2 linked regions of the Oreochromis niloticus genome follow. The protein of the gene in region 2 interacts with the protein of the main gene of each other region in a pairwise test. Links are inferred from orthologs where the notes say so. Each region holds a gene or a part of one and is shown on either strand. Other genes may lie near its edges.

The links.
Region 1: the proteins of aamp (region 2) and apoptosis-enhancing nuclease interact in binary tests that used the Homo sapiens proteins (3 or more experiments, as listed by UniProt). The link is inferred for Oreochromis niloticus from reciprocal best matches to the Homo sapiens genes AAMP and AEN.

What each region holds. Positions count from the first base shown.
Region 1 is NC_031972.2:43,593,084-43,600,700, reverse strand, and holds the start of apoptosis-enhancing nuclease, read right to left. Parts: upstream 3,091-7,617; 5' UTR 2,940-3,090; intron 1,321-2,939; 5' UTR 1,291-1,320; coding exon 649-1,290; intron 1-648. Other genes in the region: pdia3 (protein disulfide-isomerase A3), read right to left, coding at 4,564-4,674, 4,755-4,812, 5,257-5,336, 5,568-5,696, 6,707-6,815, 7,533-7,617. UniProt on the Homo sapiens protein: Exonuclease with activity against single- and double-stranded DNA and RNA. Mediates p53-induced apoptosis.
Region 2 is NC_031986.2:14,259,645-14,266,878, forward strand, and holds the start of aamp (angio-associated migratory cell protein), read left to right. Parts: upstream 1-3,993; 5' UTR 3,994-4,216; coding exon 4,217-4,307; intron 4,308-4,410; coding exon 4,411-4,554; intron 4,555-4,651; coding exon 4,652-4,771; intron 4,772-5,579; coding exon 5,580-5,719; intron 5,720-6,089; coding exon 6,090-6,234; intron 6,235-7,127; coding exon 7,128-7,211; intron 7,212-7,234. UniProt on the Homo sapiens protein: Plays a role in angiogenesis and cell migration. In smooth muscle cell migration, may act through the RhoA pathway.

The DNA of each region.
Region 1 (7,617 bases), on a different chromosome or scaffold from region 2:
TCTTGGCAGACGATATAAGCGGTACTGCCCCGATTAGCTTCCAGTAGTGCATTGCATTTCCACATTTACGCTGTAAATTTTAATAGACAATGTCACTGATTATTGCGACAAAGCCCTGCAGCCCTAATTGGCTTCAACCATGAACGTATCCTCATGCAGTCAACATGTTAAAATAGACAAATAAAGAGCAAGACCAAGCATGCTTACAGTTTTAACCTGCTACTACACAAAAAAAAGGAAGAAAAAAGAAAAAAGGGATGGCCAAGATTTTTAGTTAATGCACCTATTGTGTTCATTTGAGCATCACCCTATCGCACTGCCAGGGGGTGACGATAACACCAAAGTTATCGGCTGAGGGATAAAAATTTAAAGTAAGGATTCCACTTTCTTCAAATAAAAACTAAAGTCGGGCACATGATAGAACAAAAGTCTGATATACATTTCCCCCCCCCCCCCCTCATAATGACAGTCTCTCCTAAGATGATTAAACTGAAGTTTTTCTTCCTTACACCCCCCCCTCCCCCCCCCCTTTTTTTTTGGGATACATATTCACATCCTCAATCCACCAGATTATTCCAGGAGAGCAGTCTCTATTTAGAGCCCAGGTTAAATCTTTCATCACCGTTGTCTACAAACACTCAGACGTACCTCTTCTCTGGCTTGAACGAAGGGTGTGGCGTTGAGGAGATGATGCCTTCGGATGCCGCTCCAGCGAGTCCTGAAGTCTGTGACAGGCTGACATGGTTTCACGTATTTATCATACAGTACGTTCCCATGATAGTCCAGGATGCTGCAACGGGCCAGCTCGCTACAACGTCCTCCAGGCCCTGTCCCCACCATCTCACAGTCCAACGCCACCACTGTGGTCGGGCAGGAGCTGAAACACGGCGAACTTCGACCGCTGGCTGGAGGACTGGCTTCAGAGGAGAAGCCACTGTCCATCTCCCAGCGGTCTCCAAGGGCCGCAATCACAGAGTGGTGGTTAGCTGTTCCAGACCCTGATGCATGTTTGGATAGATCAGTGCTTTCAGAGTTCAAAGTGCTTTGATTTTCCTGGTCCGGAGCGCTCATTTTAGACCTTTTGATCAATACGCTTGTATCAAGTGATTCATGGTGGGCGGCCGTCCTTTTCATCTTCATGTTGGCGATTATCCTCTTTTCCTGATGCCTCTTCCTGGCTCTTGCATTCTCCATGGCGCAGAGCACCATGGCTTTTTTACACAGATACCGATAATTGCTGAGAAGACCTCGTGAGGAGGCTTTTCTCCTGTTTGATGACTCCGCCATCATTGATTCGTGAAACAGTTTTCACAGTCATGTCTGAGGAAATAACACAAAAGTCAGGATAGTGATCACCATTATTTAAAAATGTGGCTCATCATGAACTGCAGATTATTGAGATGACGTGAAAATGATTTTAAATATTGTTAATGAACTATTCCTGTACAATGCACAGTACATGGGGACTGACAAGTCGTTAGCCGGATAGCATATCCTGGATAACCTGAGGAATACACCAGGCACAAATTACCTACCAGATTTCCCCTTGTGGGACAATTAAAGGATTATTCTATTAACAGCATGTTTCACATGAGGTTAGTTCCATCCTTTGCTCGGCTTCCCTCTTTATCTGCTTTTTACACAGCATCAATAGAACCAGTGACATGAAGCAGGTCTGGTGGAATCACAAGCACCATCTTGGGAGGAAATGATTGGCTAAGGCCAGACCACACCCAGTGCAATTCCTAATACTAATACAATAACCAGAAATTCAAATTTCATCTGGAATGACCTGAAACTAGAGACTTTGAACATGATGGTTTGAGCATGAGCAGGAGAGTGGATATCTTGGAGAAGATGAAGCTGCAAGGCAGGAGGAAAAGAGAAAGACCACAGAGTAGATTAATTATGTAGTGAAACAGGACATGCAGAGAAAGGGGCTGGGGTGATAAAAGAGGATCCAAGGAATAGGGTGAAATGAAGGGAGATGTGGTGATCCCTAAATGGACCAGATCACATAAGGGATGAATGAATTAATAAATGCAAATGTAAGGCACTTTGCGCACTTGCTTCGCTTTTCAGACCCATAGGCTGTATCGATGTTTTGCAAACAGTCTGAGGAATTCTTGATGTTTTTAGGATTGGAAAAACACCCAAAGAGGACTGTCCCTGCATAGTCGCATTTTGGTACACCTGAAAGTGAATTTTAGCTAATGCGAAAGTAAATCACTTTGGTATAGCCCCGATTTTTACTTCATGCACTATGAAGACAGTAAAGCAAAAAAGTTTGAGACTAACGTATTTGATACCACCTGAACATCGTAATTCTCCAGCCACAATAATCTTGACACGTGGCCATACATACGGGTGCCTTTAAGGGCCACATACCTGACAGTAACACATTACAAACAGTCCATAAGTGCAGAGTTTGACTCTTCTTAGTGGCATAAATGTGATGGCGGTGTCAAGTTAAAGTTTAAAAACCTTTTCCTCGCTAGTCTTCATGTTAGTCATGAACTGGATAAATAATGGATCCAGCATACAATTCAGGCTGTATATACAAAACACCCATCATCCAAACATCACCCGCCTGGATGATCAGGATATGGCGAGGCCTTGATAGATTGTAAAAGCTTAAAGTTGTTTACAAAAACGCGCTAGGCACTTTTGAAATCAAACACTAGCCGGCAACATTTCAGAAAAAAAACGAAGCTCATGTACGAAGAATTTGCATGCGACTAAATTCAGCTGGAAATTCCACGTATTTAAACAGTTTGTCTCTCAGTTTGATTATAAAAAAAACAAACCCAGCGAGCCGTTAAAAATAAGACACAACGCCCCTTGAGATACATTACAGCATAAACGACGTATTTCTGAACGCTGACAAACACAAGAAGGGAAATGAATTGAGAAAAAAGAGGAAAAAAATCTTACGTTACCTTCTGAAGCAGCACGTGTAGGGTCTGAACATGCCCGGACAAATCTCCTCTACTCTTTAATCCCATTGGCTCAATCTCTTCTTCTTTAGTTTTCTCAGACAAACTCACTTGCGGAGTCGCCGCCTATTGGTTGGGTGCGTACCCAATGAAATTCCCATTTAAAACCAGCATTATGCTTTGTCCAATAATGTCTTTGTCTAATATTAGACTTTGTTTGATGATGTAAAACATGTAAGCGTGACAAATATTTAAAAAAAAATAAATACACAAGAAAAGTCTGAGAATCCATCAGTGTCTTCATTTCCTCCAGATACTCTGGGTTTTTGGTATTTGCAGCAACATTATATCAGTTTTTTATGGGACTGTAGCTGCTCTCTGATCTCCTACTGGAGACGATAAAGTGATCTTATCTTGTATATTATACACGGTCCGTTATTCAGACCGCTGCCAAAAACACATGAAAAAAAGACTACAGATTTTAGCATTAGCTACCTGTAATATAGACTAAGGGTTTGGAAATGTCCCATTAACAAAACACCTCCCTTTCTTTGCACTCAGTGGAGAGGTACTAAATCTGAAATAAATCTCATGTGAATCCCACATTATTAACTGTAGGACTATAAATGTCCCCCTTTACAAAATGTGGTGGCATTTTCCCCCTTTGTGATGGAGTTTGGAATCCATCTCAATTTTAGCTTCCATCTAATCAAGGTTAACATCTAGATTTCCAACATGTGAACTGTATCCCCCCCGAAAAAAAGCTACAGTTCAGTAAATATCAGAAAAATGATGTAGATGCACCGATTATTTGGCTTATATTTATAGTATTTTGTGATAGGGATAACTTTCTCCAGCCCAAGGCAGGCTGGTTTAGTGATATTTAAGGTAAATATAACCAAATAACTCAAATTAGGTTTTACATCTTCAAAACCCCCCCCCCCAAAAAAAAAAAAAAAAAAAAAAAAAAAAAAAAAAAAAACCACACAACACCACAAAAGCCTGCTTAAGTCTCAGTTTCACTACAGATACATCACTTGTTCACATTTAGCCACCAAATATTAATTTCCAATTAAAATGATCATCTATGTCTAAGTGTGTGTCAAACAAGCGTTTGAGTTGATATAGAAAAGACTTCAGAGTTCATTTTGGTTTTGTGGGCCTTTTTATTTCACAATCCTTCCAAATGTACAAAATCAAAGGCATGTTACAAAAAAAAAAAAAAAAGAAAAAAAAAAAGAAAGAAAATTTCACCATTACCGTGATCCCCTTTGATGACAACAACAAGAAACTAAAGCGACAGATGACAGGCTGTATCAAACCAAAGTGCATCAGCCTGAGGTGTAGTAGACAGACCAGGGGAAATAGAAATCTCATGTTTTAAAAAGTCATCCCATCTTCCCTAAAAATTGGTTTTGAAATATTGGGCAGACCCTGGCCAAAACCTCTCCACCTTCCACAGCATTCCCAGCACAACGAGGACCTAAAGGAAGGGCCACGTCTTTGACTTCAGACCATTCGGTAGTTCACTAAGAGAGGAATATAATTTAGTTCTTTTTCTTCCCCAATCCTCCTGTTGTGGTGGTGGAGGTAGGGAGGGGTGCTGCTGAGTTCCTGTTTGGAGCTTTTATAGCTCTGACTTCTTCTTCTTCTTTTTCTTGGGCTCCTCCTGCATCACCAGCGGGTTTGAGGCCTCCCTCTTCAGGTAGGAGAGGAAGTCGCTCACCTCGCGACCTCCCTGCAGCGAAAGCAGAGGGTTCATCAGCAAAGCACAGATATCACTTTGCTGCTGTGAACGGCACTTTAGCAGACACTCACCTCATATTTCTTTGGGCTCAACTTGCGTCCAGCTGGAGAAAAGTAGATTGTAGGGAATCTAGAACAGAGGTTGAGGACAAAGATTATGATTTCATGTATCAAACTGCACAGGTGCATGCATGTTAACCTGAGTTCCTTCACCTTTCCCAAAGTCAAGCTTCTTACATAGCTCACAGCTAATCATAATCACAGTCTGTAATTACGCTTCAGGATGTCTGCTGTTTCATGTGCAATGTTCAGCTTTTCCCCCCCTTTTATCTGTGATGAAGATATGTAGCCCAAGGCAGGCTCTGTTTAACACTTATCACTCGAGGGAATACAGGAACAGTCTCCAAGTTATGTTGAAGGGAACATACTGTATGCTCTGTCACCATGGCAGACACATATGGTCTTTAAATTCACTCTAATGTCACATACAGGGGGGGCGAACCATAAAGCTTCATTTTAATTAAAATAAAAACAGTCCAGGCCTTATCGTCACATTAAATGACTCAGCACTCACCCGCTGACTTCATATGGAGATGGCACATCATTGGCTGTGGCATCCATCTTGGCAATGACGACGTTGGGATCATCGGCCAGCTTTAGAAACAAACAGGGCAAATTGTTAAGTTTTTGCAAGACAGTTCACTAAACCTTAACATCCACACGTTAGACTAGTCTACAGGCTGGGTGATGCAGGCCAGAAGAAGAGCAAGCTAAACCTGGAGGTCACATGACTTAAAGCCACGTTCTGGATAAGTTAATTAAGAACGTGTTATTGTTTTAATGTGCAAGATCTGAACAAGCAGCAGGTCAGGATCGCTCCCTCACCTTCTCTCCCAGCTCTGTGTATTTGGGCTCCAGGCTTTTGCAGTGCCCGCACCACGGAGCGTAGAATTCAATCAGCACGTCTTTGCTGTCATCGTTAACGATGGAGTCGAAGTTCTCAGCCACCACAACCTGAAGAGACATTGCAGGTATTAGAGCCGGTTCTGTACTGCAGCCATTTTTCCACCTGAAGTACCCAGAACTTCCTCCACTCAAAGGCTATTGTCTGTTTCTACTAATGTGCTGATGCATACTCAGTAACCCAGATGAGGTAAGATGATGAAATCATTGCTTCCAAATGAACTGAATGATCTTTCTGGTTTCTGAAAGTTTTTGACCTCTGATTCACTACTTTTGTACCCCACCAGCATCGCAGTCTCTCACTGATCCATTTAAACTATTCTTTAACCATCTTTCCAATTTGTTCTGCTGTTCCCAATCCAGAGTGCTGGGTTCCACTATTAGGAATAATTTAACTGCCCGATAGCTCCTGCAGTGGACAAACGGCCTTAGGCTTTATCTCTAGTCCTAGGCAACAGTAAAACTTAATCTCCATTAAAGCTGTCAAAACATGAGGCGAGAGTGTGAAGGGAAGGGGGTGGGGGTGTGTGTTGTAGACTGATTATACGAGTTGTGATTATGCGCTGTCACTGAATTAAGCAGAGTATCCAGGATAATTGCACATCCTCACGCTGCATTTATTCATCGTTTGGCATCAGTGTTTGTTTGTCAGCTCACTTTTTCCCAAGACTGCTGGTCTCAGGAAATACGGTTTCCTGTTCTGAATATGTATGACAGAGGCAATTTACTTATTATAGCATGTTAAGCACAGAGCTTAACCCATCCGCTGTTGAAATCTTTCAAATAAGATGTAGCCTCTAAAAAGAAAGTTGACTTAAAGGCAGTTCACTTCAGAGACTGGATGAACTAGGCAACTGCACTAAACCTCAGCATGACGATTATTTCTTAAATGAATCAAGCAAAGCTACTCCAGCCGAGGCAGAGAATAAACACTCGCAGCTGTAAATGATTCTAGGCCCCCTTTAGGCTTAATGTATATTTAAAAGCATAAATCATGTCCATGATACACAAAGAAAATGTTTAGTACAAATCTTACAAGTGTCAGGAGAAATTGATCTCACCTTAACAGGTCCATCGTTGTTCTCTGGGATGGGTTCTGATTTGAGATAGCGCTTCAGCTTGCCATCAAAGTAGTCCTGCAAGAAACGCTCCAGAGCTTTTCCATCACGACTGTTGAAAGAGATTCAACGAGTCAGTAAAGTCACGATTCTCCTTGAGGTGGAAGTCATTAACTAGGCACTGTTCTTTTAGTAAGTTCCTCATCTACTGATTAGTTTCTTAGGCAACAGAGGTGGCAATCAGACACTACACGATACAAGACCACCACATTTATACATTTTGATATAAGGCAAGTTTTGCAATAAATACTTTTCTCAACAACAAATTACAATTTTAATCTTTGTCAATATCCATTTTATCCAATAAGGTCAATTTCTTACTTCAGATATGCTGCAAAATGAGACAGAGCTTAAATGCAGTCCCCAAATACTACTATCTGTAACTGAATGGGGGTCAAATTGGCAATTACATGCAGTCAGTTTCTGATAATACAACTGTGATAAATCATCAAAGCAAACTGTGTTCAATGTTGGATGCTTTCAGTCGAGCCAATTTAAGCCAAGTCTGCTCAGCTAACATCATCTCAGGATGGTGGTGCATGAGATGAGCGCTCTTGTTCATTATATTCCCAGATTATTCCATTTATTTCATAACATATCAATATTTGGTGTCCAGTTTTTATACAGTGTTGCCACACCATCACGAAGCTATACTGTTTAGAGTTATACTCCATGTAGCAAGGGTTCTACTAAATCCAACTAGCAACTTGTGATGTGATGTGTGTGTGCACTGGTGGGGAATTGTGGTGAAAAGTTGCCCTGGACTTACGAGAACTCCTCAGTCATGGTGTATTTGTCTCCTTTGGCGGTGCGGATGGCCACCACAGGCAGTTCGCCACTGGGATTCAGGCCAA
Region 2 (7,234 bases):
AGCGGGAGCATGAAGCAAACTGTGTGTCCGGCAATTCACATAGCCGGTTGCTTTCCACCGCTGGTGACGTTTCACCTTGAAACCACAACCAAATATCCTGCCCCCCGGCGAACAGGAGCTAGTGGAAAATCTGTCCGTAACCTCCAAACATGTCCTAGTAGCGGCGAGAACACAGGCAAGGCTGCAGAAAGTTTCTTTGCAGCTTATGATTGATGTTTCAGTGAACATCCTGAGACTGCATCACATGTTTTTTTGAGGTCATGTGCTATTTCCTGTTGCTCCTGACCAAAGACTGCATAAACAGTCTAGCAGTAAGCCTGTATATCCACCATCCCAGACTTTATTCAGTTGTATTGTCAGTATTTTCATTTAAGGACCACATGGGATTGAGAAGCTGCTAAGCCTCAAAGAATTTCTACCTGCTCTGTTAAAAGGGGAAAAAAATCAGCAGTTGCCATATTTTGGTATGAGAATGCGTTAATTTGATTACACTGGAAAATATCAGCTCTTGGAAGAGCATTTGCATCATCCTTCCAAAAACAGATGTCAAGCAGCTGCAGTAAAAATGTCCAAAAATGGGATTCATATTCCCAATTTAATCTGACAGCGTTAGAAGCTGCGCATAACCAAAAATTATGCACGTAGGAGCCGAATGAAGTTCTTTTTATTGGCCTGACAGGCCGAAAAAAGAAAAGAGAAAACAGCAGAAATGGATTAGAGAAATAAAGAGGCTGCGACCGGCGTTGTAACTAATGTCATCGAACTTTCCAGGGAGAGAAAGCCTCTTCCAGCCTTAGTCATAACCCAACGGAGAGTTTATAAATCTCTCGCCTGCTGCAGATTTAAAATGTCTAAATAACGTACACCCTGATATTTCCACATCTCGCCACTGCATCATGAGACGGCTGTATTTTTCCAGGCGAAAGCTTGAACACGGAGGGCGCGAGCAGCCAGTAAAACTTATTTGGGCATGCAGTTGCCGAGTCCTGCCAGCAGCATATAGCAAAAGACATAAAACTCCAACCGAAAACCTGATGTAGACAAACTGTGCTAAGTGTTCATAAAATATCTCCAGCCAGGGAATGTTTGACGGAGAGATTAAGGAAGGCAGAGTGGAGCTCTTTTTAAAATGGAGGGCAGCCCTGCTTCGAATGCTTTCCCTGTAGCGTTACTGCATTCTGACATATGCCTTCTGTTTTAATCACAGATAGAAAAATGAGCTTCCGATCATTCCCAAAGCGCACGGAGGTCAGAGGTCAGGCTCAGCTTACGTGAAGCTGATGGGAATTGGGCCTTGTACTTCTTCTCTATGGCACTCCTTTTTAGGTTTGAAGGCTCAAAAGCAGGGAAGCCAATCTCATTTTACATAGTAGGCCACATATAACCCACCTTGATCTTAAGTGGGCTGAACTGGTGAAACTGCCCTTTCAGTCAGTGTAAAGAGATTTAACTACACATTAAATGCCAGAGATGTCTTAATATAGGAAAAGGAAGTGTAATTTCAACAGCATGTCTCAGTTTTTCCACACGATAAAGAAATGTTGCTTCAGTTAATGAAAGAAATCTGTCAGCACGACTCTTTGGGTATACATTGTAAGAAATAAACGTGTAAAATTACAGAAACAGTTCTAGTATCTCACTGCCCAGACTGTCCTGTAATTATAAAATAGAAAGTTTTATTAATTTATAGTCCTAATATTTCCTTTTCTTCTTATTGTTACTGTACTGTTGAAACATTGTGAAAAAGCAGAAACTTTAACTGTAATTAAATGATTAATCTATTACTTAATTACTTTGGTACAGTATGAATGATCGGGGGTGGGGGGTCTTTATTACCTGTAAAAGTCTTAAAATGCATTTAAAAGTCAAAAATTTACACCCTCCTTCATATTTTCTAAAGCTATCCAATCAGCCAGACTGGAGTCTTTGCCAGACTGATTCTGGCCCCCGGGCCTTATGTTTGATACCTATGCTCAAGAACATAGTTCCTGCTGGGTGATCAGAGGGAACATGTTATCTTCAGCTTTAAAACTCCTGCTGTTACAGCCTCACTGAAATAACCCTGAGCAGTGCCCTTTACTGTGCAGCATAATCCAGCCTAATACAGTCACATTGTGTGTCATAAAACATAAACCTAATTATGATTAGCCAACAGTCAACACTGTTTTATGGAAACTCCAACTCTGTCAGAATATCATAGAAACACATATAAATGAAGGCTAAAACTCCCAGTCTGCATCAGTTTCACTGGACAACACCACAGTAAAATGTACTACCACAACAATAACAATAACATCACAAATTAATTTTCCGGCAAACCAAAATCTTGCTTCACCTCCTGAACCTGTAATAACAGGAGCATGAATTACAGTTTTGTGACCCTGCGTCAAGTGTTTCACTAGAAGGCAAACTGAGGTTTAATCATGCAGGGAAATAAGTGAAAGGACAATCAGTCAGGGCTGATTATACAGCTACAATGAGGAATACGCCACTGCGATGTTTTAGGTGGACACCGAAGATTGTCCTTGTAAGGATGTTTAACTTTCATGTTTCTTATGGAAAAATTCTAAAATGTGTAAAATATCAAATGTGCCGTTGATAAAAATTAAGAATGGGAATTACTTGTGTTACAACAGGATCACAATATTTAGTGGCAAGTTATTCTGTGATACTCTATACATTATAAGACAGCAGCATTATCTGTGTAACAGGGAAAATGACACTTGTAAAATGGGAAAAAAAGAAAATATGTATTAAGTTACTGCATTGTGATATTAGTGTGCTTACTTTATCATCATAACACAGTTTTAATATTGTATGTTACTTAATATGGTGTCAGTACAATTAATCAGTTCTCTAAATCACTTTCATTTTTTTTTTCTACTATAACTCAGTTCACTTTACTTTCTTTCTCCAAAATGAGTCATGAAGTTCTAATTCTATTTAGCCAAACTGGTGATATTTGGCATATCAATAAGTTATAACAAGAAGGATCCATGTAATATATTGCTGTATGGATATTTTGTCCCACCCCTACTGGTATTGCTAAAGACAGACAGTAATAAGGACATAACTGAGCAGCTAATACAATAAGTGAAAAGAACAAAATGAATAAACAGATTCACAGACAAGCATAATCTAGAAAACAGTAAATAATTATTTCTAAAGGTTTAGGCTGATTAATTTGTTTTATGTACACAAATATCTTTTTGTGGACTTTCCATTTGGGATTATCTAGTTTTAACATAAACCACTTAATACTCTTAATGCAGTGCATGTTAGTTAGTTAAACATATAACAGGTAACCACTGTGTTTCATTAGTGCGTATTAACTGCTTGTTTATACACTTTAAAATAGCTTATGCTTGTTACCCATCTATTTGTATGTTTTTTTAAATGGAGATTTGATTTTAATATGACTAGAATATACTTGGATAGTAAAATAATATTTGTAGTTAGTATTACTGTCAAATATTGGTCATATTTTCTTCTTTGAAACTGACAAATCATGATTAGTGCTTCGAATGTGGTTCAAATTATTATAAGGCCTACTGCTGCTGCTAATACTGATGCGACTACTAGTAGATATTTTAAATAAAATCTATGTGAGAATTTTAAAACAGTAAAATCGGTAGAAATATAAGATTAACTGACCTAATTTTGGGTCTACAGACTTTTTAATCATTTATTTTCAATAAACTGCTATTAATACAGTGTGTAGTGTCCCCATGACCATTAAAATTATTTGATTTTATCCATAGAAAATTAAGTAAAAACTAAACTAAACATAACTGTACAAATAAGTCTTCTCAGACATTTCAAGATGCCCACAGGGACTTTACTATACACTTACTCGTATTAAATTACTAATTTAAATTTTGCTAATCCTGCCGTTCAGCCAGTATTTTCCCGGGACGTTGTCGTAATTTTGCCAATGGCGCCATCTTTCGGATCATATAGTAAATGACGCTTTATCCGAGCGACTGTCCTACGTCATAACTATGCGCCAGTCTCTCTAGTCTCGACAACGTGACGAAAACATGGGGAGTCAGTTTTCCTTCTGACAGATAGTTTCTTCTTTCTGAGGTCCTCGCGCCACTTAAACCGACATTTGAGAGTCAGAGTGTCATTTTGAAGCTTGCTGGGAGCTGCAGAGCGCGAGGCCGTTCAAACGTCACGTGAACCGAGCTTTTTTTGCGGTTGTTTTGCTAGCAGCATGGATAACTCCGAGGAAAGTGCCATTGAGCTCCACGGGGATGAGGAAATTATTGAAGTCATCGACCTGAACGACACGGAGCCTGGCCCAGGTGGGTCTCGGCAGCACCTGTTCCGTCTCCTCTCCCGTGACAGGCGGGGCAATAGCAGAGATAGATCAGGTGACCGTCATGGGCTGTGCTCTTTCTCTCGCAGATGATTTGGCTGATGACTTGGAGGACGTCGACTTCGATGACGCGGGAAACGCAGGTGATGACAATGACGGCTGGGAGACTGAGGACGAGATGGAGGCTGAGGCAGAGCAGGACGACAGCGATCTCACCTTCTCCAAACACACCGGTGAAAACCTCCCTCGTGTCTCTGCTGCTGCTGCTCTCTGATTACTCCTGGCTGCTTAAGGTTTAAAAAGGTCTGACCCCCTTTTTTTTCTTCCCAGGCTCGGTGTTCTGTGTGAGTTTGGACCCAGCGACCAACAACTTGGCTGTGAGCGGAGGGGAGGATGATAAGGCCTATGTTTGGAGGGTGAGCGATGGGGAAGTTCTGCTGGAGTGCGCAGGTGAGTGTAGAGATCAGAGATGATCACATAAAGCTTTTTACCATGGCAATTAAAACATAAGCACCAGCACAGCATGGTTAAAAGAACAAAATGTGTGAGAGTTTAGTTACAGTTTGATTTGGCTTCGTTTGTGGATGCAGGCGGGGAGCAAACATGGGTGTCTTTACAAAAACCCTTCCTTTCCTGCTTTTCCAGACTTAAACACAATCCTGGTATTCTCAAATAAAACAAAAACAAAATAAAATAACAACCCCCCCCCGGGTAATTAGCATTTCCAATTACTCTGGGAAATAGGCATCATAGCAGATGCTAACAAGGGTGGGAGAAAAAATTGATACAGCACAGTATCGCAATTCTTTTTTTTTTTTTTTTGTATCAATTTGGGCTTGGCTGTGGCTCAGAAGGGTGAACAGGTTCTGTATGTCCAAGCTTCCTTAGTCAAGATGCTGAACTCGAAACTGCTGCTGGTGCATCCATCAGAGTGTGAGTGAAGGCAAATCCTCAGAGGCAGACTAAAGCTCTGTATGAATGTGTATGTGAATGGCTCAATGTGGCTTTGTGTGCTCTTTTGGAGTAAAAACGCACTAGTGCATTTATTTGCATAGGCCTGAGCACTGTGTTGACATCAGCCATGTGTGAAATGTGTCCACACGAGTATTTTCAGATTGTTTACATAAAGCTGTGGACACACTGTGATGTCTCAAATGGGCAGGAAAATGGCCAAGTGTCTTTTCTGTCGACCTCAAGCAAAATGGGAAAAAAATCATCATGTTCATTAAGCTGCTCTTTGCCCTCTGATCCTACACAGGTCACAAAGACTCAGTGACGTGTGCCATGTTCAGCCATGACTCCTCCCTGGTGGCGTCCGGAGACATGAGCGGCTTGATTAAAGTCTGGAAAGTAGAAACTAAAGAGGAGATCTGGTCCTTTGAAGTGGGAGATCTGGAGGTAAGGGTATGACTCTGTGTGTGTCTGTGTGTGTGTGTGTGTGTGTGTGTGTGTGTGTGTGTCTGTGTGTGCGCGCACCTCTGTGGGCTATGAGAGTGCTGAAAGAATTTATAAGGACTAAAGAGAAGATGATTGCTCTGACTGAGAATCTGTGTGAGTTGCTCTTTTCTCAAATTGTACAACCTACAGTGATTATAAAGTCCAGTAACTTGCCACTACAAACAAATGCAGTGGAGGAAAGTGTGTGTGTGTGTGTGTGTGTGTGTGTGTGTGTGTGTGTGTGTGTGTGTGTGTGTGTGTGTGTGTGTGTGTGTGTGTGTGTGTGTGTGTGTGTGTGTGTGTGTGTAATAGCTGTTGCTTTCTATCTCAGTGGTTAGAGTGGCATCCCTGTGCTCCTGTGCTGCTGGCGGGAACGAATGATGGCAGCGTGTGGATGTGGAAGATCCCCGCAGGAGACTGTAAAACCTTCCAGAGTCCTGCCTGTCAGGCCACCAGCGGCAAAATCCTCCCTGATGGTGAGAGATGGGATACAAAAAGTCACCCCAAACAGTACCCCCAAAACCTCCCCACTTTTAACCACCTACAGTTAGAAAATTCTGTGTGAAAGCAGCTCTTGCCGTTATTTTGTATGCTATAATTTTATGGATGTGGTTTTAAATGGATAAAACTGTCATTTTGTGCACTGTTTTACCTTTAATGCTCCTCAGTTCTCAAAAGTCATGTAGTATTAGGGCTGTGCGATATGACCAAAATTTCATATCCCGATATAAGGCATTTATCGTCCCAACAACGATGTATAATAACAAAAATTTTACATTTTCTGTAAATTCTGTGAATCTCGGGCAACTCAACTTGCCTGAAGTGCTTTCAGCTGGGCGCCGTGCGTTACATAAGTTGAAATGGCCTCAATTTTCTTTGTGAGTATTTATTACACGGCGTGCTGCGGGGAAAAGCCTGTTCTAAGCTTTATTTATTTTTTTTACCACCTGACGGCTCTTTTTAGCTTCTCATGCGTAAACACTCTGCATTCTATTTCACTTGATTCAGTTTATTTTGAAAAATCTCAACAGGATCTTCAGCTTTATTGTGAAAGGTTTATGTGGAAAATAAACATGCGGACTGCGGAGCCACGCGATGGTTTTACCGTCGTTGTTGCTAATGACAACGCATAAAAACAATCGCTTGTCCGTCTGTAGTGTGGCTATATTAGATATAAGAGGAAGAGAGAACTTAAGGAAATTATACAGTGACCATCAAAACGATGAAAAAATATTGCCCTAAACAGTTGATTTTGCGACACCACGAAACAAACGATAGCGTAATATGAAACGATAGACGTTTTCATATCATCATCTGATATATATCGTTATATCGAACAGCCCTATGTAATATATATTTTCTCTTCCAGGTAAACGGGCTGTGGTGGGTTATGAGGATGGAACAGTACGCGTGTGGGACTTGAAGCAGGGAAATGCTATCCACGTCATTAAAGGTGGGTCTGACACATAGTTTCTT